3 linked regions of the Arabidopsis thaliana genome follow. The protein of the gene in region 1 binds, or shares a complex with, the protein of each later gene. Each region holds a gene or a part of one and is shown in the gene's direction. Other genes may lie near its edges.

The links.
Region 2: AT3G18500 (region 1) and CAF1b share a complex: the UniProt entries of both Arabidopsis thaliana proteins name them as parts of the CCR4-NOT complex.
Region 3: AT3G18500 (region 1) and AT1G27890 share a complex: the UniProt entries of both Arabidopsis thaliana proteins name them as parts of the CCR4-NOT complex.

Annotation. Positions count from the first base shown.
Region 1 is NC_003074.8:6,348,660-6,358,593, forward strand, and holds AT3G18500 (DNAse I-like superfamily protein), read left to right. Parts: upstream 1-3,812; 5' UTR 3,813-3,884; coding exon 3,885-4,197; intron 4,198-4,371; coding exon 4,372-4,541; intron 4,542-4,611; coding exon 4,612-4,677; intron 4,678-4,842; coding exon 4,843-4,895; intron 4,896-4,988; coding exon 4,989-5,070; intron 5,071-5,157; coding exon 5,158-5,247; intron 5,248-5,543; coding exon 5,544-5,636; intron 5,637-5,719; coding exon 5,720-5,752; intron 5,753-5,839; coding exon 5,840-5,946; intron 5,947-6,037; coding exon 6,038-6,149; intron 6,150-6,226; coding exon 6,227-6,312; intron 6,313-6,408; coding exon 6,409-6,493; intron 6,494-6,578; coding exon 6,579-6,638; 3' UTR 6,639-6,787; downstream 6,788-9,934. Other genes in the region: ASPG1 (Eukaryotic aspartyl protease family protein), read right to left, coding at 431-1,933; AT3G18510 (ATP-dependent helicase/nuclease subunit), read left to right, coding at 7,052-7,159, 7,230-7,325. UniProt on the Arabidopsis thaliana protein: Acts as a catalytic component of the CCR4-NOT core complex, which in the nucleus seems to be a general transcription factor, and in the cytoplasm the major mRNA deadenylase involved in mRNA turnover.
Region 2 is NC_003076.8:7,363,917-7,370,676, reverse strand, and holds CAF1b (Polynucleotidyl transferase, ribonuclease H-like superfamily protein), read left to right. Parts: upstream 1-3,877; 5' UTR 3,878-4,235; coding exon 4,236-5,072; 3' UTR 5,073-5,200; downstream 5,201-6,760. Other genes in the region: MS1 (RING/FYVE/PHD zinc finger superfamily protein), read left to right, coding at 485-797, 1,110-1,392, 1,548-2,970; OFP10 (Ovate family protein), read right to left, coding at 5,398-5,988; E2F1 (E2F transcription factor 1), read right to left, coding at 6,557-6,699. UniProt on the Arabidopsis thaliana protein: Ubiquitous transcription factor required for a diverse set of processes. It is a component of the CCR4 complex involved in the control of gene expression.
Region 3 is NC_003070.9:9,712,576-9,719,138, reverse strand, and holds AT1G27890 (Polynucleotidyl transferase, ribonuclease H-like superfamily protein), read left to right. Parts: upstream 1-3,962; 5' UTR 3,963-4,094; coding exon 4,095-5,003; downstream 5,004-6,563. Other genes in the region: AT1G27900 (RNA helicase family protein), read left to right, coding at 1-66, 187-278, 832-918, 1,229-1,443, 1,619-1,711, 1,795-1,918, 2,032-2,182, 2,532-2,601 and 3 more; AT1G27880 (DEAD/DEAH box RNA helicase family protein), read right to left, coding at 5,238-5,334, 5,423-5,538, 5,631-5,655, 5,809-5,978, 6,064-6,192. UniProt on the Arabidopsis thaliana protein: Ubiquitous transcription factor required for a diverse set of processes. It is a component of the CCR4 complex involved in the control of gene expression.

The DNA of each region.
Region 1 (9,934 bases):
TTTGAATACCCCAACTTAACAACTTTCACATTGATTGATTTCCACACAGTTGGTAAAATTCAGACTATAATTTAAAATATTGAAGGACATTAAAGGGCCACAACAACAAAAGTCTGTTTGTTTCTTTGAAGACTAAACTTTTGTTACAAAAAGACCCTTCTTTTTTGTAACTTCTTACTTTATTGACTCTTCTTCTTCTTCACTACTGAAAACTTCTTGCTGAGACAACAACACTTTCAACTTTATAATAAAATTAATTAATCCTATTATTATTCGATAAAAGACGACAATAACTTATGATTAATTAAAAAAAAGGTAGAAAAATTCACACTTAAGGATTTTGTTTTCATCTTGTTACCGTAGCTAGCTAGTACCATAAAAAGTTTTACTGATTACCCGTAAAACTATTAATTTTTCTACTTTGACATGTTTAGCATTTATTCCCTGACAATCCGATAACATTTTTGGATAGATCGTAAGTGATACGTGTCCCTTGCTGCTGCACATTCCCGATGATCGACAACGACGACGACGTCGGAGCAAAAGCGAAGCAAAACGTTCCACTATCATCCACAGGGATCAGATAATTCTTCGCCGGCAAATCAAGCGACTTCCCTCCCGTGAAATGAAACGCAACCGTCGGTACTTTCACAGTGGAGAGAGACGAGAAATCGTAACACGTGTCGAACAGAGAGATGCTCGAAGATCCTTTTTTGAGATTCACGGTGAGTTTAAGAAACGCGTCACGCAGCGAGTTATAAGCCTGCGTCTGAAGACGAGTCACGGCGGTTCCACAATCCAAGATCACTCCTCCGCTTCCCGAAGCATCGACATCGAAGATCGCATCAGGCAGCACGACTTTTTCACCACCGACGCTGAATCCACTGAGTCCGACGTAGTAGAAAGTGTCGATCTTTTTGTTACGTAGAAGCGGCGCCGTCGCGTCTCCGCCACCGAGTTGGACCGAGTTGAAATCAAGACTTGAGGACTTTCCCGAGTCACGGTCAACGAGGCAGTAAGAAAACGACGTCGCTTTCATTTGATTGGTTATCGATAAAACACCACCGCCTAAACCGAGTAAACCGGCTGCTCCGGTAAAGAGACCTTCGTTGTCGTGACCACAACCCAAAGCGACGTTGTTTATTTTACCAGAGTTACCAAACGTCACCGTATCGGTAGCGAGTTCACCGACGGTGAAAGATCCGTCTCCGTAACTAACTTGGTAGAGACATTTGTTTGACCGACAAGCGGAGGTTTCGAGAAGAGAGCACTGTGGAGCAGAGCAAGTGAGAGATTTGTATGTGGAAGACGAAGTCGGGTTAAAAACCGGGTCGGACTGTTGGTAACAGTCGGCGCAAGGTTCACACTGGATCCAATTTACGTCGCTTCCGGTGTCGAGAACCAAGTACATCTCTTTCGCCGGAGTTCCGACACCGATTCTTGAGAAATACTCGCCGCTTCCTTGAGAGGCTCCGGAGACGACAGGTGTCGTTAGATCCTCGGTTTGGTATCGTGTATCTTCGTTGTAAACGGGTTTGAGATCGGATCTATCGACTCCTTCGACGGCGAAACGGATCTTCGCGACGATTCCGGCGACTCGGGATGAGTCGCGCTCGAGTCGACTGAGTGTTAAGCTTTTGTAGTCTTTGTGCTGTGACGCGACGAAAGTGTCTCGAGAGTGAAGCTCTAGAGATAGTGGTGAAGATGAATTGAAGAAAACCGGGTCGGATAGGGATTCGGGTTTGGTGGTGGTGAGTGAGGAACGAGTCGGGTCGAGTGAGAGGATAGTTTGTGTTTGCTGGAGAGATGAAACGACGTCGAGTACGTTCGTTTTAGGTGGAGTGGATAGAGAGCGAGAGGAAGCATCAGTGGTGGTGAGGAAAAGAGAGAGAGTGACGACGGCGAGGAGAGAAAGAAATCGCGGGAAAGCCATTATTTCCGGCGAAGGTTGATATGAGTTAAGTGGAAGAGAGAAAGAGTAAGTAATGTTTTTAATTTATAGAGAGAAAAATAAATGCTGCGGAGAGAGTCACGCCAGAATTGCTGCGGTTATAAAAGCCACATCAATTATTTATCATCCTGTTAAAATATTTGGATTCACATTATCATCGATCGGTAAAAAAACTTTATGGTTGGATATTATATTTTATATATACAAAAATAAATTAAATAAGAAGTCTTAATCTGGATTTATCATATGATTCCCAACATAGCGTTACATTTATACCGAATCAAATAAAAATTTAGACAAATGTAATTTGAGAATTGTGTTTATTTGTTATTGGCACCGAAAGAAGAATTTGTACTTTGTAGAATTCAACACAAAACTATAGCATAGTGTCTGTAGTCTGTACGGACGAGAGTAGAAACTGTAGAAGATAGGGATTTGACCTACTAAATATTTTAATACAAGTCTACAAGCGATTATCCAATATTAAGCTCCTAGAGATGTGTGACTACAGAGTACTTAAGTGTTTATTTATTGCAATGACCTTTGGATACAAAGTACTCCTATATTGTTAACCAATTCACTTTTAATTTTTTTTACGTGACCAAAGCTAAGATCTTATCTAGAAAACTAAAAGCTTTCTGTCCTTTTGTTATATTCGGGCTTCAAAACTTTGTACCTTCTTCTTACCATCGCTGTCGAGAGAAAAGTCAGCAGAAGTTTTGGAAACTATTAGTTATAGGGATCGAATTATCTTAATCATCTACGATCATGTCATTTTGTGTTGGATATTTGTTAATGCTTGTACATTTCTAAAAAAACATGTGTTGTATATTAGCTAATGTCAATATGTGGTGCATATTTGCTAAGTTGCCGTGGAAATAACAAAAACTTAAAATTTTGCTAAGTACTGTACTTTTTTTTTTTTGTGATTGCAATTTGCTTAAGGTGATTGATGAACGAAGGCTATATGTAAAAACTGGAAAGGAGTGAATCAATGTGAGAAGTGGGTGAGTTGTTACTTCGTTAGAAGAGAGATTTGGGTTTATTTCGCTTTCCCTGAATTAATGGTAACGCACCCTTTTGGCTTTGGTTGTTGCGTGTCATTTATTTCTCTTTTGTTTTTAATCTTGTTATATCCATTTTCTTATACCTACTTTACTTTTTTTCCATAAAATGAGATTATGCAATTCAATCAGTAATGTTTTAAATCGCATACACTTTTATATTTAACAATATGCCTTCACTAATTTGTATTTCAAGATTAGTTAGTGATATTTTATAGTAAAGTTTAAAGAACATTATAATGTAGACGCAATCATAGAGTTTTTCTTTGTCAAAGGCAATATTGCAACAAAAAAAAAGGTAGAAACGAAGACATTTTTTTTTTTGTGTGTGTAATCAGTAATCGCCTTACACAAAAAGACATATACTTTTTTGTGTAAGGTTTTTTTTTTTTGAGCTACTATCACTAAATTTGAAATCAAATAATTGATACTCCAATAAAAGTAGAAATAATATCATAGTATATGAAAAAACAAAAAAAAATTACAAGGACGATGAAAGAAAAAACAAAATCTCATAACTCAAAATCAAATATCATCTCCAAGTTCTTAACATGATAAAACTAGACTAAAATAAAAACTGACATCCTACTAAAATTAGAAACAAAATGACATAAATTGAAATCAAACTCACAAAAAAAAACAATAGACATTAAAACAAAAAATCCGAATAACAAAAAACAGGATCTCAGCTAAACAAGGCCTGGTGTAGTATACTAGTATTGGCCCATGGCCCATGGTTTGGTATTTTTTTTTCTCTGACCAAAGGAAGAAAAAAAAAAAGATATTTATCCGTATGGCGCCAAGAGGTTTGTGTGGTTTTCGATTTCATCCAAATTTCTGAATTTCGTCTCTAACATCCACAAAATCGAATGCGTTGTGTGAATCGCGTTGATTGTTCTTGGTCACGGCCAAGCGAAGCTTACCGTATCTTACCCTCCGGTGGTCACCTTTCATCTGGATTCCATCAATGTCCTTTATCGTCTCTATCTTTCCGTTCCTCTTTCGTGTGTTGCTCCTCCTCCACATCTGGACCGTCCGATTCAAATCCCGAATCATCTTCAAATCGCTCTTACAGCCGTAGATGGCAGAATCCTCTTCCCCGGCGTCAACATCCCGATCAAATACCGTCTTCTCAGATTGCTCGTGATTGGATCGATTCAGATACAACTCCAGTTTCTCAAGGTAGTTTAATAATGATCTTATGGAAAAACTCTGCTCTTACTTATGAATTTGTGAACTAGTTAGGATTTAGTAAATTAGAGATATTAGTAATAGCTTGAGTTACTGTTTGTCCATGAAGCTTGTGAAATTGTGGATGCCTTTGGATCTTACTAGTGTGTCTCTATGTAATATTAGCTTTAGAGAGATTCACTGTAGTGTCGTACAACATATTGGGAGATGGAAATTCATCATATCACAGAGAGTTGTACTCCAATGTGTCTGTTCCTTACCTCAAGTGGGGCTACCGCAAAAGGTTGATATGCGAAGAACTCATTCGTCTCAATCCAGACATAATCTCTATGCAGGTAATGAACTTTACCTTGTTTTATATCGTGTTAAGATAGTTAAGTTGATTTTGTTTGTGGACCTTTGTAGGAAGTAGATAAATATTTTGATCTATTCAGTATGATGGAGAAAGCTGGATATGCTGGCTCCTATAAGGTTGATGTATTTCCTTGTTCAATGAAAAATTTTATGCTTATAAGATTAATGGGGTAAAATGTAAGACATGGTTTGTCGGTTGGTTTTATTTACCTTTTCGTCTGAAGCCTCAACAAAAGTTGTGTTTATATAGAAGGACTACAAATATAAGCTTTGCAATGGCAGCGGCGAACTGGAGATAACGTCGATGGTTGCGCAATGTTTTGGAAGGCTGACAGGTAGCACATATTGTTTGACTCAATCTGTATTAGTGTGAAGAAAAACGACTACTACAACTCAGCATTGTTTAAGATTTATCTTGTTTTCAAAAGGTTTGGAGTTTTGGAGAGGGAAAACATTGAGTTTAGCCAGTTTGGTATGCGGGATAATGTTGCACAGCTTGCTGTTCTTGAGGTAGAAATTTTTTTTGAATGTTTTACGAACTTCTTTTTTCATGTATATGCTTTGACTGATCCAGTTTTTTTTTGGGTTTCCCGTCAGCTCCGGAAGTCTAATAAGTCAAGAAAGATACTGCTGGGTAACATTCACGTGCTTTATAATCCAAATCAAGGAGATGTGAAGCTGGGTCAGGTAAGCCTCGACATTTCAATTTGTATATCCGCTACACGAGCAATTGACTGTCATGAAAGTTTACAAAATGTTGATCTGGCCCTTTCACCTTTGGCTTTAAGACTTCAGGAAATTGTACTGAATCTCAGTCAAGAGATGTTTACTAGCATTAGTTTAAATATCTAAGACAAGTCTAAGTTACTAGTATATGTCATGACATGTTCATTAGTATATGTCCTAATGCTCATGAAAACGTATTGAATTCGTGGCTTATGTTTTTTCTTGAGTTCCTGATTTGCCTTGTTCTTGACTGATAGGTCCGTTCACTCTGCTCAAAGGCTCACTTGCTCTCTAAGAAATGGGGTGACATTCCCATTGTTCTATGCGGAGATTTCAATAGCACTCCCAAGGTACGTATCTTTTCAAATAAACTCTTCCACTTTGGTTTGTGTATTTGTTTATTCATTGTTTGAGTTTATCTTATTACGTGTAGAGTCCATTGTACAACTTCTTGGCGTCCTCTGAGGTATGACTATTCATAGTTTTGCTTCAGTCAAACTACACTGTGTCCTCTTGTAGTTTCTTTAAATAGGATTATGCTTCTATCTTACAGCTGAATGTCATGGAACATGACAAAAAAGAGCTGTCCGGCCAGAAAAATTGTCGTCCTACCAAAGTTCTTGAAACTGGTAGCAAATCCAGTAATACAATAACTTTCAGGTAAGATTGTTTTTTGAAGATTTAATCAGTTCTGTGAATGGTTGTCTTGTGACTGCCTGCTGGAATAGCCATTGTGTTCACACACTAGTAGAAGTTTTTGTAGCTCTTGGACAAAAGAAGAGATCCGTGTCGCAACCGGGCAAGAGAACTCGTACTGGGCTGCGCATCCTCTGAAACTCAATAGCTCATACGCCTCAGTTAAGGTAACAAACAAAGCTTTAATGTCCCTGTCTATATATGACAAGACCTTAAATTTGCTCATGAACATGGTACACAACAGGGCTCAGCAAATACCAGGGACTCTGTTGGTGAACCTCTAGCAACCTCATATCACTCGAAATTTCTCGGAACGGTTGATTATCTCTGGTAAAACATTCTAAACACAACCAAAACTCAAATGGACAAATTTAATATTTGGCTGATGAAGTAACTAATTAGAAATACATGTGTGGTCTGGTTAAGGTACTCTGATGGTCTTTTACCTGCAAGAGTTCTTGACACACTTCCTATTGATGTTCTATGCAAAACCAAAGGCCTTCCTTGTCAAGTATGTCTTTCTATCAAACAGTTTAGATTTGGTGAGGTCATTTCTATGATTGATGCTTAAAGCCTTATTCGTCTTTGGTTTGCAGGAATTGGGAAGCGATCACTTGGCTCTTGTTTCTGAATTTGTCTTTGAACCGGACGGTTAAAGGCATCTAGTGCCAGCTTAGTTTTCTTTGAACCGAACCGTTATAAATGTGTTTTTATTAAATGTATAAGCGTACCGAAATTACCTGATCATGGTTCTATATCAAACCGACTTCTCGATAAATAAATAAAAATTGAGACGATCAGAAGCTTCAATCTTGTGTGCGTATTGGGTCACTAGGATATTAAATCGACTTCTTCGAACGTAATTTAAAGTGAGAGAACCAGTTTACTTGATTCTGGATCTAAACCGAAGCGGACATAAGCTTGGTTTAAATGTACCAAAAAGAAAGAATTGAACCAATTGGTACGGTTCTAATCTTGGTTCCGGTAAAATGAAAAGGAATTCTAAAGAGATTGAGAGCTGTAAAGTTGGAATCGAAGGAAGAAGAGACAAGAGAAAGTGAGGAAATTAATGGCGTTGAGCTCAATGACATGGGGTTACGCACGGATCATAGCTGGAACACTTCTCGGCGGGGCCCTCGGATTCTACGTAATGCATCGCATCGAAGTTAGCTACAAGGTCTGTTTCTTCTCTCTGTCTTCCTATGAGAAAGCTTGTGCTCGACCTTAGACTGTTGGGTTTTACGCAGATGAGGATGGAGGAAGCGTTGAATCAATACGAGAAGGATATGCAGAAGAGACAAGAAGAAGAAAATCTTATTCAGATCAATGAAGAATCTGTTTAGCTTATTTCTTGGTAGCATGCCTTCAAAGTGTTCGATGAAATGCCCAACAGATGTTTGATGCTGTTTTGACTTTTTTTCTCTCATGTATTTTTCGGTTTGGTTTGGTCTGGCATTATGAAAATGTTTCATTTGTCTTTGGTTTAATAACTATATACCATGATGGTGGACCAGAGAAGCAGCCATATTGAGCATTATATGTATCTTTCATCTATTCAAATGTTTCTTAAAGAAACAACTAAATCCTTATTACATCAAAATTGCTGTTCCATCCAAATCCTTAATCAGTTATGTTTCTGTTGTTGTTGTTGTTGTCGTTGTCTGTTAGAATGTGATGAGGATTTGATGTATTAGCTACATAACTTTGATTTTGGAATGGTATAATGGTTTTACTAAGCTAAATTTTTGAGAGATGTCAGATAGAAAAAGAATTAACTGGGCAAAAAGCATATGGAACCGATCCAGCTCTTTTGGACTTTTAAAAGTGTTTAGTCGGGTTCTGTCTTCTTTTTAATTCTAAAAGGTTTCGTAATTATTTTCTTTTCACCAGTTCAACTTAAAGAAACGCCAAAACAACAAACAAAAAAATGTCTAGATTTTGGTGTTTGTGCTCAATGAAAGAGTCTTCATTTCGTAGGGTCAACCCAATTCCTGATTTTTCATGGTAAATTCCACACAAAGAGGACATGTCCAAAACAGAACATTAAATATTAACATGAAAGAGACAGGAGAGTTATGTTGTTATTTTTTTGGGACCAAACCATAATTGCAGAACAATACTAGTAAGTATTACATAACTGTTTCAGTTTAATTACGTTATCATGGCAAAATTCATTTTTCTCTCAAGAATTGAATCATCTATGTATTTTAAGTCTCATTTTTTAGTTTAATAATTAGATGCAAACTGGTAGGGCTGATGAACCAGTGAACACATAAAAAGGTTCCACAACTTCCGACCCATATAGTTCGAATTACAAAATATAAAAGATGTCCTACTGAACAAAAATAGAAAAACATATTAACCTATTAATAGAATTCTCATATATGTTCGGTTGAGCTGCCTTCGATTAGGCAGATTAGGAAAAATAGTCTTTTGAATTCTCCTATAGAAGTGTTTTATATATCTTATGGATTTGTATATCCAGCCTGGTATGAAATATCTGTCCTAAAATGAATTTGTGCTACGTTTATTAAGGTTAGTTTGCAAAATAGAATTTTTGAAAAAAAAAAAAAAACTCTAGCTAGCATGTATCAGAAAATACGACATTTTGAAAGCTAAAAACATAGAGAAAAATAACATGTGCTATATATAAATATTACGTAAGTTGTTATATTTTATCATGCAAGATTGGCCCTGGACTTACTCATCATGTACCTATTTGTGGCCGCGACTTGGACTTCCTCTCGGGTCTTTCAGATGGGTCTCTCTAACATGTACCATGGCACTGATCTCACCCATAAAGAGGTCACATTTGATCTTTGCTGCTCCTACATCTATGTAGGAAGGAAGTCTCTATCCTTCCTTTTCATAAGCATCCCTTTCCGTTGCTATATAATTACCCAAACATTACAAAAAATTATATAATTTGTAATATCATGACAAATGTTATGCTATTACTTAGTATTTAAAAATGATATGTTATGCAATTACCCTTCTCTGAGCTCATGTTACACGTAAGATTAGGAAAATGCGAGGTTAATGTGTTTGTTATACTAAAGCCAGTAAGGTGGCAAGGAAAAAACAAAAAAAAATATCCAATGCAGGGCTATGTCCCTACATATATAACTATTTTGTGGAGATCCAGAAATTTAAGGTTTGTATTGAGTGTTTGCCAAAGAAATAAAGGTTGTAATGAGTGCAACAGCCAACAGGCAAGAAATGTCTTGTCTCCGTGAACTTCACGTGCATGGTGCATCCCCTACCCGTTGCCATTTCGTGAAGATCGTAATTAAGTTTGATTACTTTCTCAATTATGATTAAAAAAGATGTGATGGATTCGACCTTTCACTTCCTTACGTTGAAAATATATAACCCATGTGATTTCCCACTTTTTATGGAAAATGATATATACCACTTAAATTGACTCTTCTCTTTTTTTCCTACGTAAGAGATAGTTGAATCTTAAAAGTTTTTGTTTTTTAGTTTACAAATTTTAGATCCTGAGTGTACCAATAGATTTAAACCGGATTTTTTTGTGTGTGTTGGATCTAAATCTTCAACGTAAGATTTTGTTTGTTGTTCAAAACGTAAGATTTCTTAACATAAAGGTTTGAAACATTGAAACTATATCTTCTATTTAATTTGGTGTAAAATAAGCTTTATTGGTAAATATTTTCTCTTCTAAACATTGCGACAATTTAAACGTAGTAATACGTAGATTATATCACAGTCAGAAAACGGTACTTTTGTTTGGTCCCATATCTGTTTTTAGAAGTTTGTGAGGCTATACAATTTAATAAATCTCCTAACTCTGAATTATTCTATTTTGTCGTCTTATCTGAAAGATGTATAAATCTTTGTCAAAACTCTAATTTCGTTTTGTTTCAATCGGAGTTGTGGGATTCAATTATTACACGTTTTCAAAGTAGAATCACTAAAATCTTTAAGAAAT
Region 2 (6,760 bases), on another chromosome or scaffold:
CTCACCCTCGATCTTTTTGCATGCCATTTGTCACATATTCTTACACAAATACATGTATATGTATTAAAATTATCAATCCAGTTTCGAATATTACAGAAGTATTTTTAGAAATGAAATTAGATTTGGGAATAAGAAGGGTTTGAATGTTTTTTTGAAAAATAGTTAATTATTTGGCTAAGAAAGAAAAGTTGTTAATGTTACAAGTCATGCACATATCAAGACCTAACATACAATCCAATGGTAACAATTGTTAATTCACAGTTTAATTAACCTTTCTCTTTCTCTCACTCACTTTTCCTTTTCATCACCACAAAGCACTAATTGTGTGACCATCATCTTAATGACTACTATATCTCTAAACCCTTAACACACTTCCTCAACACTTTTCGGTCTCTTCTTATAACAAACCCCATCATAATATATATCCAAATCTATCATATTCCTATTCCCTCTCTTCTCAAGATCAAACCAAATTTCTGATTCGATGGCGAATCTGATTCGAACAGACCATCAGCAACATATTCCAAAGAAGAGGAAGAGAGGGGAAAGTAGAGTTTTTAGGCTGAAGACGTTCGGAGAGTCTGGACATCCAGCTGAGATGAACGAGTTGTCTTTTCGAGATAACCTCGCTAAACTACTTGAGTTTGGTCACTTTGAGAGCTCCGGTCTAATGGGAAGTTGGTCTTTTCAGCTCGAGATTCAACGAAATCCAAATCCTCTCTATGTTCTTCTCTTTGTCGTAGAAGAGCCCATCGAAGCCTCTCTCAATCTCCGTTGCAACCATTGCCAATATGTTGGTGACGTCCTCTCTCTCTTTTCCCTTCTCTCTCTCTGTATACAATTTTTCTTTTGCGTATCTATCTATATATGCATGTGAATACATTCGTATATAACTATATATGACCTAAGATCATAAGCTGAAAATTTAGTAAGAGTTGACCTAGCTAGCTCAACATGTAAGCATTTTTCTTGCATATATATCTATATACAAGCTTACACGTACTTATGAACAAAAATAGCAATAATAATTTAATATATGGTTAAAAGTGATGCATTTATGTAAAGATCAAAAATATATATTATACAATGGTTTATACGGAACCTTGCAGGTTGGGGAAATCAAATGATATGCAACAAGAAGTACCATTTCGTGATCCCCTCAAAGGAAACAATGGCGGCTTTTTTAAAACTGGAAGGTGGAGGCTACGCTTTTCCCGAAAAGGAAAGTTTCTCCCATCTTGTGGAGCTTCAAGGCCATGTCCTTCACGGCTTCTTTCACTCCAACGGATTTGGTCACTTGCTCTCTCTCAACGGCATTGAAACCGGCTCCGACTTAACCGGTCATCAGGTCATGGATTTGTGGGACCGGCTCTGCACCGGTTTAAAGGCCAGGTACTAATTAGACTTTATATATTTGTATATCATATAAACCATTCAACACAATAACCATTCAACACAATTCTGTTAGTTTTCATATCATAATGGATTATTCCTAGCTATTAATTTGGATTTACACATAATGAGTCATTTTATTTTTGTTCATATAGGAAAATAGGGTTGAATGACGCGTCGCACAAAAAAGGAATGGAGTTGAGGCTGCTGCATGGGGTAGCAAAAGGAGAGCCATGGTTCGGTCGTTGGGGCTACCGGTTCGGGTCAGGGACATACGGAGTGACTCAAAAGATTTACGAGAAGGCACTTGAGTCGGTCCGTAACATACCCTTGTGCTTGCTTAACCATCACCTAACCAGCCTTAACCGAGAAACTCCAATCCTCTTGTCAAAGTACCAAAGTTTATCCACCGAGCCATTGATCACTCTCAGTGACCTCTTCAGGTTCATGCTTCATCTCCATTCACGTCTTCCAAGAGATAACTACATGAGTAACTCCCGAAACCAAATCATCTCCATTGATAGTACCAACTGCAGATGGTCTCAAAAACGGATCCAAATGGCTATCAAAGTGGTCATAGAGTCACTGAAAAGAGTCGAATACCGATGGATATCGAGACAAGAAGTGAGGGATGCAGCTAGAAATTACATTGGGGACACTGGTTTGCTTGATTTTGTGTTGAAGTCGCTTGGGAACCAGGTGGTTGGAAACTATTTGGTCCGACGTAGTCTAAATCCGGTGAAGAAAGTGCTAGAGTATTCCTTGGAGGATATATCAAATTTGTTACCAAGTAGTAACAATGAACTCATAACCCTTCAAAACCAAAACTCAATGGGGAAGATGGCGACAAACGGTCACAATAAGATCACAAGAGGTCAAGTTATGAAAGACATGTTTTATTTTTACAAACACATTCTCATGGACTACAAGGGAGTGTTAGGCCCCATAGGAGGTATATTGAACCAAATCGGAATGGCTTCAAGAGCAATCCTCGACGCTAAGTACTTCATCAAAGAGTATCACTACATTAGAGATACATCGGCGAAAACGTTACACTTAGATCGAGGGGAAGAATTAGGAATATTCTGCACGATCGCGTGGAAATGTCATCATCATAACAACGAGATAAAAGTTCCTCCACAAGAATGCATTGTAGTGAAGAAAGATGCAACATTGAGTGAAGTGTACGGAGAGGCAGAAAGAGTGTTTAGAGATATCTATTGGGAACTAAGAGACGTCGTGGTGGAGTCAGTGGTGGGTGGTCAAATAGAGATCACAAGGGTCGATGAAATGGCCTTGAATGGGAATAAGGGATTGGTGTTAGAAGGGAACGTAGGAATGATGATGAACATTGAAGTGACGAAATGTTATGAAGATGATGATAAAAAGAAGGATAAGAGAATAGAGTGTGAGTGTGGAGCAACGGAAGAAGATGGAGAGAGAATGGTGTGTTGTGATATTTGTGAAGTATGGCAACACACAAGGTGTGTTGGTGTTCAACACAATGAGGAAGTGCCTCGCATTTTTCTTTGTCAAAGTTGTGATCAACATCTTATTCCTCTCTCTTTTTTACCCTAAATCATTCATGTTATATTAAACCTTCTTTTTTTCTATCATTACGTCATAATACATAAATTATACTCCTCGATCAACGTGAATTCTAATGATCCCTCCTGCGTCTATATCACCAACATGTTGAATCACAAAGTCATATCCTTGCCTCCTCTGGAGCCTGACTGTTCTAATAATATCATTATCAACATGTCGCTCTCCTCTTCCCCTGATGACTCATGTGACGTCATCTACTCCAACCGTGATTCCAAGTTTTACTTGACAACAACCTTAAGGCTTGTCTCCAAGAAAAGGCAGTTAAATTTTAACAGAAAATAATTCACAACACAAGGCGGAGAAAGAAGTGTGTAGTGTTTTAAATAATTTAGGCTTACAATTGATGCAAAAACAAAATTACAAACAAAAGAAGGTTTACATAATTTAAATAATTTAGTTTTACAATTGATGCATTTGGAATTAATAAATTATTTCTTCATTAACATGGAACAATATCAAGTTATTGCAAACAAAGGAAATGAAAGAAAAACAGTCATGTGTTTAACAACTCTGTTCAAGGTCAACGTCCTAAAAAGTTTCTTATTATATTGACTGAAGATGGAAAACTCCACGGACTATCTACGTTTGTGATATTGTTTCTAGAAATTGGGACTTACATCCAAATCTGGAAGAACAATCTTCTAAACACTACCAACAAAGTCATGAGATTCGATGAGTAAACTAGGGAACAATGAAAACTGAAAAGGGCTCAACCTAGGCTTCGCTGTTGCTACAATTTCGTGAAAACATTAAAGCACAATCAGATACGTGTAGACATCATCATAATCTAATGATTCAACCCTTTAATGCGTTTTTAGTGCGTCGTTACATATTCAGTGTTTATTGGTAATATAGCAATATTCCTGATAAAGTTCATTGGTCGTAAGTCGTAACGTTTACATGTTTTATTCAACTCTTAAAAACCAATAGAAAATCTTAATGTACTTGGCCTTCTTATTCTTGTCGGCTTAATGTACTTACTTAAATACAACGACTTGAATTGCAATAATTCGATACACGAAGGAGAAGCCAACTTAGACTAAGTCAAGAAACACATTGAATCATAAACGTGCGCGTTTCTCACACTTCTTCTCCTCTCCTTCCTCGTAAACACTCTCTTACTCACATTCATATATATAACTAAACCTTGCAGATTAACCAAATCAACAAAAAAAAACAGACTTTTGATAAATTCACAACGAAGAAGAAGACCTAAAAGATCGGGACTTGAAACTATGATCAAATCAGAAGCAGATCTCTCCGATGTGATCGTGATTCGTGACGTTTGGGCTTATAATCTCGAGTCAGAGTTTGACCTAATCAGAGGAATCGTCGAAGATTACCCATTCATCTCAATGGATACAGAATTTCCCGGCGTGATTTACAAGGCGGATCTCGACGTTCTCCGCCGTGGAAACCCTAATTATCTCTACAATCTTCTCAAATCCAACGTTGACGCTTTAAGTTTGATCCAAGTCGGTCTTACTCTCTCCGACGCCGACGGAAACCTCCCAGATCTCGGCGGTCAAAAAAACCGTCGATACATCTGGGAATTCAATTTCCGTGACTTCGACGTGGAGCGTGATCCACACGCTCCTGATTCGATCGAGCTACTCCGTCGTCACGGGATCGATTTCGAGCGGAACCGTCGCGAAGGTGTTGAATCGGAGAGGTTCGCGGAGCTGATGATGTCATCGGGGTTGATCTGTAACGAGTCTGTGAGCTGGGTGACGTTTCACAGCGCGTATGATTTTGGTTACCTTGTGAAGATTCTCACGCGCCGGCAGCTTCCGGTGGCGTTGCGTGAGTTTTTAGGGTTGCTTAGAGCTTTCTTCGGTGATAGGGTTTATGATGTGAAACATATTATGAGGTTTTGTGAGCAGAGATTGTATGGTGGTTTGGACCGGGTTGCTCGGTCTCTTGAAGTTAACCGGGCGGTTGGGAAATGTCATCAAGCCGGTTCGGATAGTTTGCTGACGTGGCAGGCGTTTCAGAGGATGAGGGATTTGTATTTCGTTGAGGATGGGGCGGAGAAACACGCCGGAGTTTTGTATGGTTTAGAGGTTTTTTGAGGGATTTATAATTAATTAATTTAATTAATCTTTGTTAATCATTTATACAGTCGAAATCGAAATTATCTTATTCATCTCTCGTTTTAACCAAATCCAAAAACCAAAACGAAATAACTCAATTTGGTTTTGTTTAACCAATTTACACTTCAAAACTTTTTGTGCAGTAAAATATTATCGTTACGTTAGAGCTAGGCTTTGAGGTATAACTTTGATTTTTGTTGGTGTTGTTTAATAGTTTACATCTAGTCATGGAATCATAAATTGAAATTATTCACAATATTGTAACATCTATATATAGAGAGAGATATGAGGAGGATTTAGTTCCTCATTTTGAAGAAGTTTGGTGTGAGTCATCATCATTGTTATCAAGAGGATTGTTAACATATAGACGAAGCAATCTCCCAAGTGACTTCCCACGTCGGTCGTGTGGTGGTTGGAGATGTGAACAGACGTCGACAAAAGCACGGACGATGAGATTGTGTTGAGGAGAAGGGTTTATGTCCAAGAAACACCTTAGAAGCTCCTTAAGTTCACTTTCCGTCTCGATATATCTCTCTTCGATCATCTGATTCATCGACTTCTTGTAATCTTCGAACGGATTGATTGATTCTTTAGCCATCGCGACGCTCTCATCGATCTTAGGACATGGGCTGCGTAAAACCGTGGGAGAAACCGGTGGTCCCGGGGTGTAGTGGCTGTGAGAGGAAGGTGGAACGGTAGAGCCGCAACCGCATGCCATAAAAATGGGTTTGAATATGGTTTTGAGTATATACTTCATCATCTTCTTGAAAGACATTTTTTTTTTTACTAGAGGAAGAGAAAACAAGTTGAGATTATTGAGTGAGGATGTTGGTGTGGGAAAGTTTGTTAAAAGAGGAACCTTTTTTTCATTTAACTTAGCTTGGAGATTCAGCATTGCTCATTGCTTTGGAGATGCACAATTTTGATGGATTTCTTTTTTAAGGAAAATAATACCATCTTGAGGTGAATTCAAAGTTATATATGATATCATTTGTAAGAAACTATCTCGAGTGATATCAAAGGATTGGACATAGAAACCGATTTGAACCAAAAAGAAATCTCTCAAACCACAACCGAACCAATATGTTTTCGTCAAGATTTTTGATGAACGGAAATATGTTTTAGTTTCGATCTGGTTACCTTTTTGGTAAACCGGAAATGGAGCATGTAAAACTACTAAGCACCCGTCTACAACTCTAAAAGGTTTTGCAGTTTCACATGAACAAGACCAATATTAAGAAATCAATGGGCTAAGGCTAATTCTATATTAAGCCTGAGAAGCTAACAAAGAAAAAAAATGAAGAATACAACGAAGGGGTTGGTTTCTCTACTTTTATTTTGCAATCTCTATTCTATGATAATGCAATGCAGCTACTGTACAAGTACAACATTAACTCTGGTTTCACCGAAATCAGATTCTATGTACAGATATATGGTGGTGCTTGTAATGTGGTATGGTAACTTCAGCTACCTGTAGGTGATCTCGTAGCAGTGGATTCTTCTGGTGTTGGGCTCGATGGAGTTTGTGGCTGCTCCAAGATTTTGTTGTCGCTCGGTCCAGCGTGGTCTTGATCAAATGTAATCATCTGGTTCCAGTCTGGTCCAGCTAATGATGAAAGAGTCAAGGAGCTCTAAACAGATATCATATTTGGGGAGGAAAAAACTCA
Region 3 (6,563 bases), on another chromosome or scaffold:
GCAGAAGGATCCTGTATGGATGCTATTATTTATCCTCTTCACGGTTCTTTGCCCCCTGAAATGCAGGTAACAATTTCTAGAATCAGAATATGAGTGTCCATTCCAGATTTTTGCTTCTGGGCAATTGAGATATCTAGGTGATGTAAAAGGTTTTGGTAATTTGCTTGACTTTCACCATTTCTGCAGGTTCGTGTCTTTAGTCCTCCTCCTCCAAACTGCCGCAGATTTATTGTTTCTACCAATATTGCTGAAACTTCCCTTACTGTGGACGGGGTTGTGTAAGTTACTCAAAACCTTAAGTTTATAGTGTTATTTTTTGTTTTCATGTCTGGTATCTACCGTAAGATTTACTGTACATATTGATACTTTCATTACGATAGTGTTAAGTCAGGCCCTGTAAAAAAATGAATAAATTTATCATTCATACTAATCATGAAGACTGCAATCGTGTAATTAGGTGCAGTAATGGATTTAAGCAGATATATGATACCGGCTTAATGTTGTTTGTTATATTCCTCGCTCCTTTAAATTCACTTCACATTTCAGTACATGTTGTTCACAATCACGTCTATGAGATCTACTTTTGGAGTTTAACTTGAAACAGACGATTGAGACATTTAATTCTACATGAATAGGTCGTACTGTCTCTTTGTCAAGCTATCAAAACTGAATGTAGTATGAGAAGATTCCTTATTCTGTGATGTTACTGTTGCCAAAAGTCGTCTTTGTTTGTATCATTTGTTCATATCTGCATTTTAAGCAAAGTTCTGATAATGTTTTGACAATTTGGAGATCGATAGCATTCTCAGCCTAGTCTGTTTTCTTTGACAGGTATGTAATTGATTCCGGGTATGTGAAGCAAAGACAATATAACCCATCAAGTGGAATGTTTTCTCTTGATGTTATTCAAATTAGCAAGTAAGCAAATGAATCTTGGTTCAATACCTTCATTCATTCCATTAGATTGTTTGCTAAATATGAACCTTGTAATAATCTATTGGTGCATATAATGAACTTGTAGTTGATGTGTGATGATTTATAGCCGTAACTAGTAAAGATATCCGCAGTTGGCTCAAAAAGGAATTATATTGGTTCAATAGGACCTCATCAGATTCAGATATTACATTTTTTAATCAGGAATCCCAGTGGTTTCTTACTCAGGTTTTCATCAAGCTCCTATTTGCTAACTGTACTTTGAATATTTTTCTGTTTCACTTTGTTTTTCCAGAGTGCAAGCTAACCAACGTGCTGGACGTGCTGGCCGAACAAGACCGGGGAAATGTTATCGTTTATACCCATTGGCAGTCTACCGAGATGACTTCCTTGATGCAACTATTCCTGAAATCCAACGAACTTCTCTTGCCGGGAGTGTTCTATACTTGAAATCATTGGATCTTCCTGATATTGACATTCTCAAGTTCGATTTTCTTGATGCTCCTTCATGTAAGAACTTATTTCTATCCGGAGTTTAATGTCTCTTATAAAGCTTTCTACAAAATCAATGGACTGATGGTTTGTCATGCACAAACTGCTGTTTTTCTTTTTTTTGCTTGTGATACTTTTGAATTTTCCAGTGATATAATATATCTCTGGTTTTTGTCCTGCATATAATATTCAGCTGAGTCATTAGAAGATGCGTTGAAGCAATTGTATTTCATTGATGCAATTGATGAGAATGGAGCAATAACAAGGATTGGACGGACAATGTCTGGTATGTTTAGCGCAGTTTTCTTCTGTTTGATTTTTTCTAGTTTGAGCTGCTATCTCATACTGACCATATTTGTGGTTCAACAGATCTTCCACTAGAACCATCATTGTCAAGAACATTGATAGAAGCGAATGAAACCGGTTGCTTATCTCAAGCTCTAACAGTTGTTGCTATGCTGTCAGCAGAGACAACTCTTCTTCCTGCTAGGAGGTTAGTTTTTACGATATACAATAACCTGGGTCAGATTGTGAAATGTTTAAAATCACATTGACTAGATACAGATGCGTCAACTCTTGTCTTTATGGTTTTTGCTTGCATGATAGTAAACCCAGTGAAAAGAAGAGGAAACATGATGAAGATTCTAATCTTCCTAATGGATCCGGATATGGTGATCACATTCAACTGCTACAGATTTTCGAATCTTGGGACCGTACTAATTATGATCCTGTATGGTGCAAAGAGAACGGCATGCAGGTAATTGTTCCATTTTCTTCCTTCCTTCCTTATCTATTCTCGAGTATTCCAAGTGAAAAGCATGGTGACATCAAAAGCCTTACTGCATTGTTACTTCAGAAGGTGGTCAGTTATATGCTGTCTCTGCAGTTAATACAATCTATATAGCATAGAAAATCCCTTCATTGTTGAGACCTGACTCCGATGGGCGTCAATGTTTGTATTTTCTGCTTCATACAGTTTTATAACCAACAATTATGGGAGTTACTGAAATTTACTACCTTTGTTTAGATAGTCTATTTCGGTACATTATTACGTGGGTTCCTTATGCCAATAAGAAAGATAACTTTTGTTGAAAAATAATTTGCAGGTGCGAGGGATGGTGTTTGTCAAAGATGTTAGAAGACAGTTATGTCAGATTATGCAGAAAATATCCAAAGGTTAGATTGTTTCATGACAAGAAGATTCCGTGAAAGAATATATAATTATTTCTCTATGGCTTTCACCCTAAATGGTTATGCCTCCAACAGAACCAGAGTTTATGTCAACATCACTCTTTTATCTTGTGAGATGTGATAGGTGGCTGTGTCATACCTAACCAACCGTCACTAAAATATTTGGTCTCCTTGACAAACTAGATCGATTGGAAGTTGGGGCAGATGGTAGGAAGAGTTCAAGCCGAGACGACTACAGGAAGTTGAGGAAAGCTCTATGCGTTGGTAATGCAAACCAAATTGCTGAGAGAATGCTTCGTCACAATGGATACCGGACTCTTAGTTTCCAGTCCCAGCTAGTCCAGGCATTACTTCTCAATCCAAGTCTCATTTATCTGTTACAGTGTTAGATTTTCTATTACATCAGTAGCTCAGATATGTAAGCATTTCCAGTTTCGTATGATCATCGACATATTGACGTTTTTGGTTGATTCTAGGTGCATCCATCATCTGTATTGAGTGCCGACAATGACGGAATGATGCCTAACTACGTAGTGTACCATGAGCTGATTTCCACCACACGTCCGTTCATGCGGAATGTTTGTGCAGTAGATATGGCATGGGTGGCTCCCATCAAAAGAAAGATCGAGAAATTAAATGTCAGAAAATTGAGGTAAAAACAAACATTACTCTTTACTAGTTCAATCCAGTCTTGTTCTAGCTTTTTCTTGTCTGGTCTTGGATTCAGTAATTGATCGGTATCATTTAATCTGCCATGTAGCGGTGGACCGGCTCCCTCTTTCAAAGTACCTGAGGAGAAGACGGAGTTGTCTAAAAACAATGCAGAAACACCTGCAGTTTCTGAAAATGTTGAGAGTCGGATTGAAGCAGCCAGAGAACGCTTTCTTGCTCGTAAAGGACAGAAATAAATTTGATGTCTCAAACATAAATACAAGATTCAACTAGCCCTATAAAGAATAGAAAAGAGAAGCTTTCTGTAGAAGATTTGTTATTAGAGACAATTTTCAAATTTTGTATGTTCTGTTTTTTTTTTTTTTGGCTCAACTTAAACTTTTCTTTATTCTCATTCGACATGAGTTTTAAATTTTTAACCCAATTTGGTATGTTCTTAGTATTATGTTTAAAAGATGATAATGTTTACACGAAAAAAGAAAAGAAAAAGGTTTTGGTATTAGTCAGACTTCGGTTTAGTGATTTAATTCGGTTTAGTATTAAAATTGTAAACCGCTTCGGAAACAGGCTTCTCTTATTTTGGGCTTTTGAGAGGAAAATGGAAATCTCGTGTCCAACAAGAATTAAATTAGGAGTGATAAAAGTCAACACGAACTTTTTGACTGGAAAAAAATGGAAACTTTCCGGCGACGTAAGAAAAAAGGAAACTCCCACTGCTATTAGTATTCGAGTCTCCGAAATCAGATAGAGAGAGAGATTAGTATTTCAGATAAACAAACTGTTTCAGTCTTCAAAATCCGAGAGAGATGGGTGAAGTTTGGAGATGGAACAAGGAAGTAGAGATGGATTCGATAAGAGATTGTTTGAAACATTTTAGTTCCATCGCTATCGACACAGAGTTTCCCGGATGCTTAAAGGAGACTCCGATGGACGCGAGTGAGGAAATTCGTTACAGAGACATGAAGTTCAATGTGGACAACACCCATCTCATCCAGTTAGGTTTCACGCTATTCGACAGAAGAGGAATCACTAAAACCTGGGAAATAAACTTGTCAGATTTCAACGAACATAAGTGCTTCAAAAACGATAAGTCCATAGCTTTTCTCAAAAGCAATGGTCTCAATCTGGACAAGATCGGAGAGGAAGGTATTGGAATCGAAGAATTCTTTAGAGACTTTTCTCAGATTCTCAAGGAGAAGGACGGAAAGATAACTTGGGTGAATTTTCAAGGCTCTTACGACAATGCTTATCTCGTTAAAGGCTTAACGGGAGGGAAACCGTTACCGGAGACTAAGGAAGAGTTTCACGAGACCGTCGAGCAGCTTTTGGGAAAGTTTGTTTTTGACGTAAAGAAAATCGCTGAATCATGCAGCGGACTAAGTAGCCGATTCGGACTACAGAGAATAGCTGATGTGTTGCAGATGAAACGTGTTGGAAAAGCTCATCACGCTGGCTCAGACAGTGAATTGACGGCTCGTGTCTTCACTAAGTTGACTTTCGATTTGCTCAATAGTAGAAAGCAGTGTGTAAGACGAGTTGATCATCAGCAATATCAACTAGAGCAGCAGCAGCTTATGATGACTAGATGTTACATCCCAATACCGATACCTATACCGAGACCGAGATCGGTGATGTTTGCTGCTCATCACCCGAACCCGTATTTTGGTGGTGGTTACTTTGGGATGCCGGTCCAAGGAAGGAACTACGTTTTGTGATGCCTGAATGTTTGTTTAACATGACTTGCTCTGCTATTATGTATAATTTCTAGTTTTATCAGATGTTTCTTTAAATACTAAAGATTAACTTTCATCTTTTCTTGTCGATCAAAACAATTCTCTCAACTCTCATATGACACAATTTCTCTTTACTGGATACTTTCAATGAATCTAGAATACAATACAAATAAATTTAAATATCCTAAGAATCTACTCAAAGCCTCTAATCTTATGTTATGTAGCTAAAGCTGCGTTCCTGTCAACAAAATTGAACAACTCTGTTTGTGCCGCTTCCATTATCACTCGGAAGTCTACGTTCATATACCTTCCCCTGCAAAGCCATATTTCAATTAAATCACATGTACCATCACCAAACAATAACTTGCATGGCTTGGTTTAGCTGATGATGATGAATATACCAGAAATGAGTCTTGGACCAGACTGAATTCGGAAAAGCTGGACTTCCAACTCCGTGCATTATTCTCGCGATGGCTCTTGGTGTGAATTTGGCTTGGCGATTACTCTGCAAAAACACCTGTTTTGACACACAATAGTTAACTGGACATTCTTTGGATACATGGCAAAACAATAAAGTATGAACAACAGTGTGGCTTCTTGGATCTTCACCTTTATGTCTGCTCGTAGAAAGGCGCTGCATCCACAATACAAGCGTTGATCAATTTAATGGAAAGATGACTTTGACAAACAAATAATATGTAACAACCGCAGTTTTATATTTCCTTATTCGCTATGCAATAATCGAAATTTGGAATCTATGAAAACAAGTAAAATATTTTGTTAGTACCAATTTTGAGTAGCCTTGCTCGGACTGTCACACTTTTCATCACCATTGAAGTAATCAAAGATTCTGCTTTGCAGGCTCCGAGTTTGCTTGGCACCAGAACTCAGTTCTGAAGTGTTAGAGACACTAATCGCAGCCACAGCTGCACTAGACATAATATCCAGTTTTCTCACCTATATCAGAAGCAAAAATTATTGCTACATATAAGCACAAGCGTTGGAACTTAAATTATGCAGTAGATCAAATTGAAGAACTTACTTTGCAACTTTCAATCTCTGTGAGCCACTTGGTTAGATGACTGGACAATGAACATATTTCCTTTGGAGATTTTAAGATTGTGTAACAAAAGGCGGAGTCCTTCAATTCGTATGTTACTTCCCCCTTCATCTACAAGTACTCAACATCGTTAATTAGAAATCAGGAAGATAATTAGGATTCAAGTGGAACACACACGAAATAGTTCTTAACAGAACACAAGCAATTAAACAAATAGATGACATATGATCCACCCTTAGATACATTTCCCTCAGTACAGTTGTATTTTCTCAGTAAACCCTACATCAATAGTCCATAGAAAAAATTGAACCAAACTTTATCACAAAACGATACTAATTAAGTATATCTTCTTATATTGTACTATAGTTATATTCCTAAGGGTAATTTATGTGTCTATCAGTTCTTTGCTGTGGACTTAAGTTTCTTCGTCACTTTTAATCCGTGCAAATTCAATCATGGCTCGCTTATTTAGATAAATATGC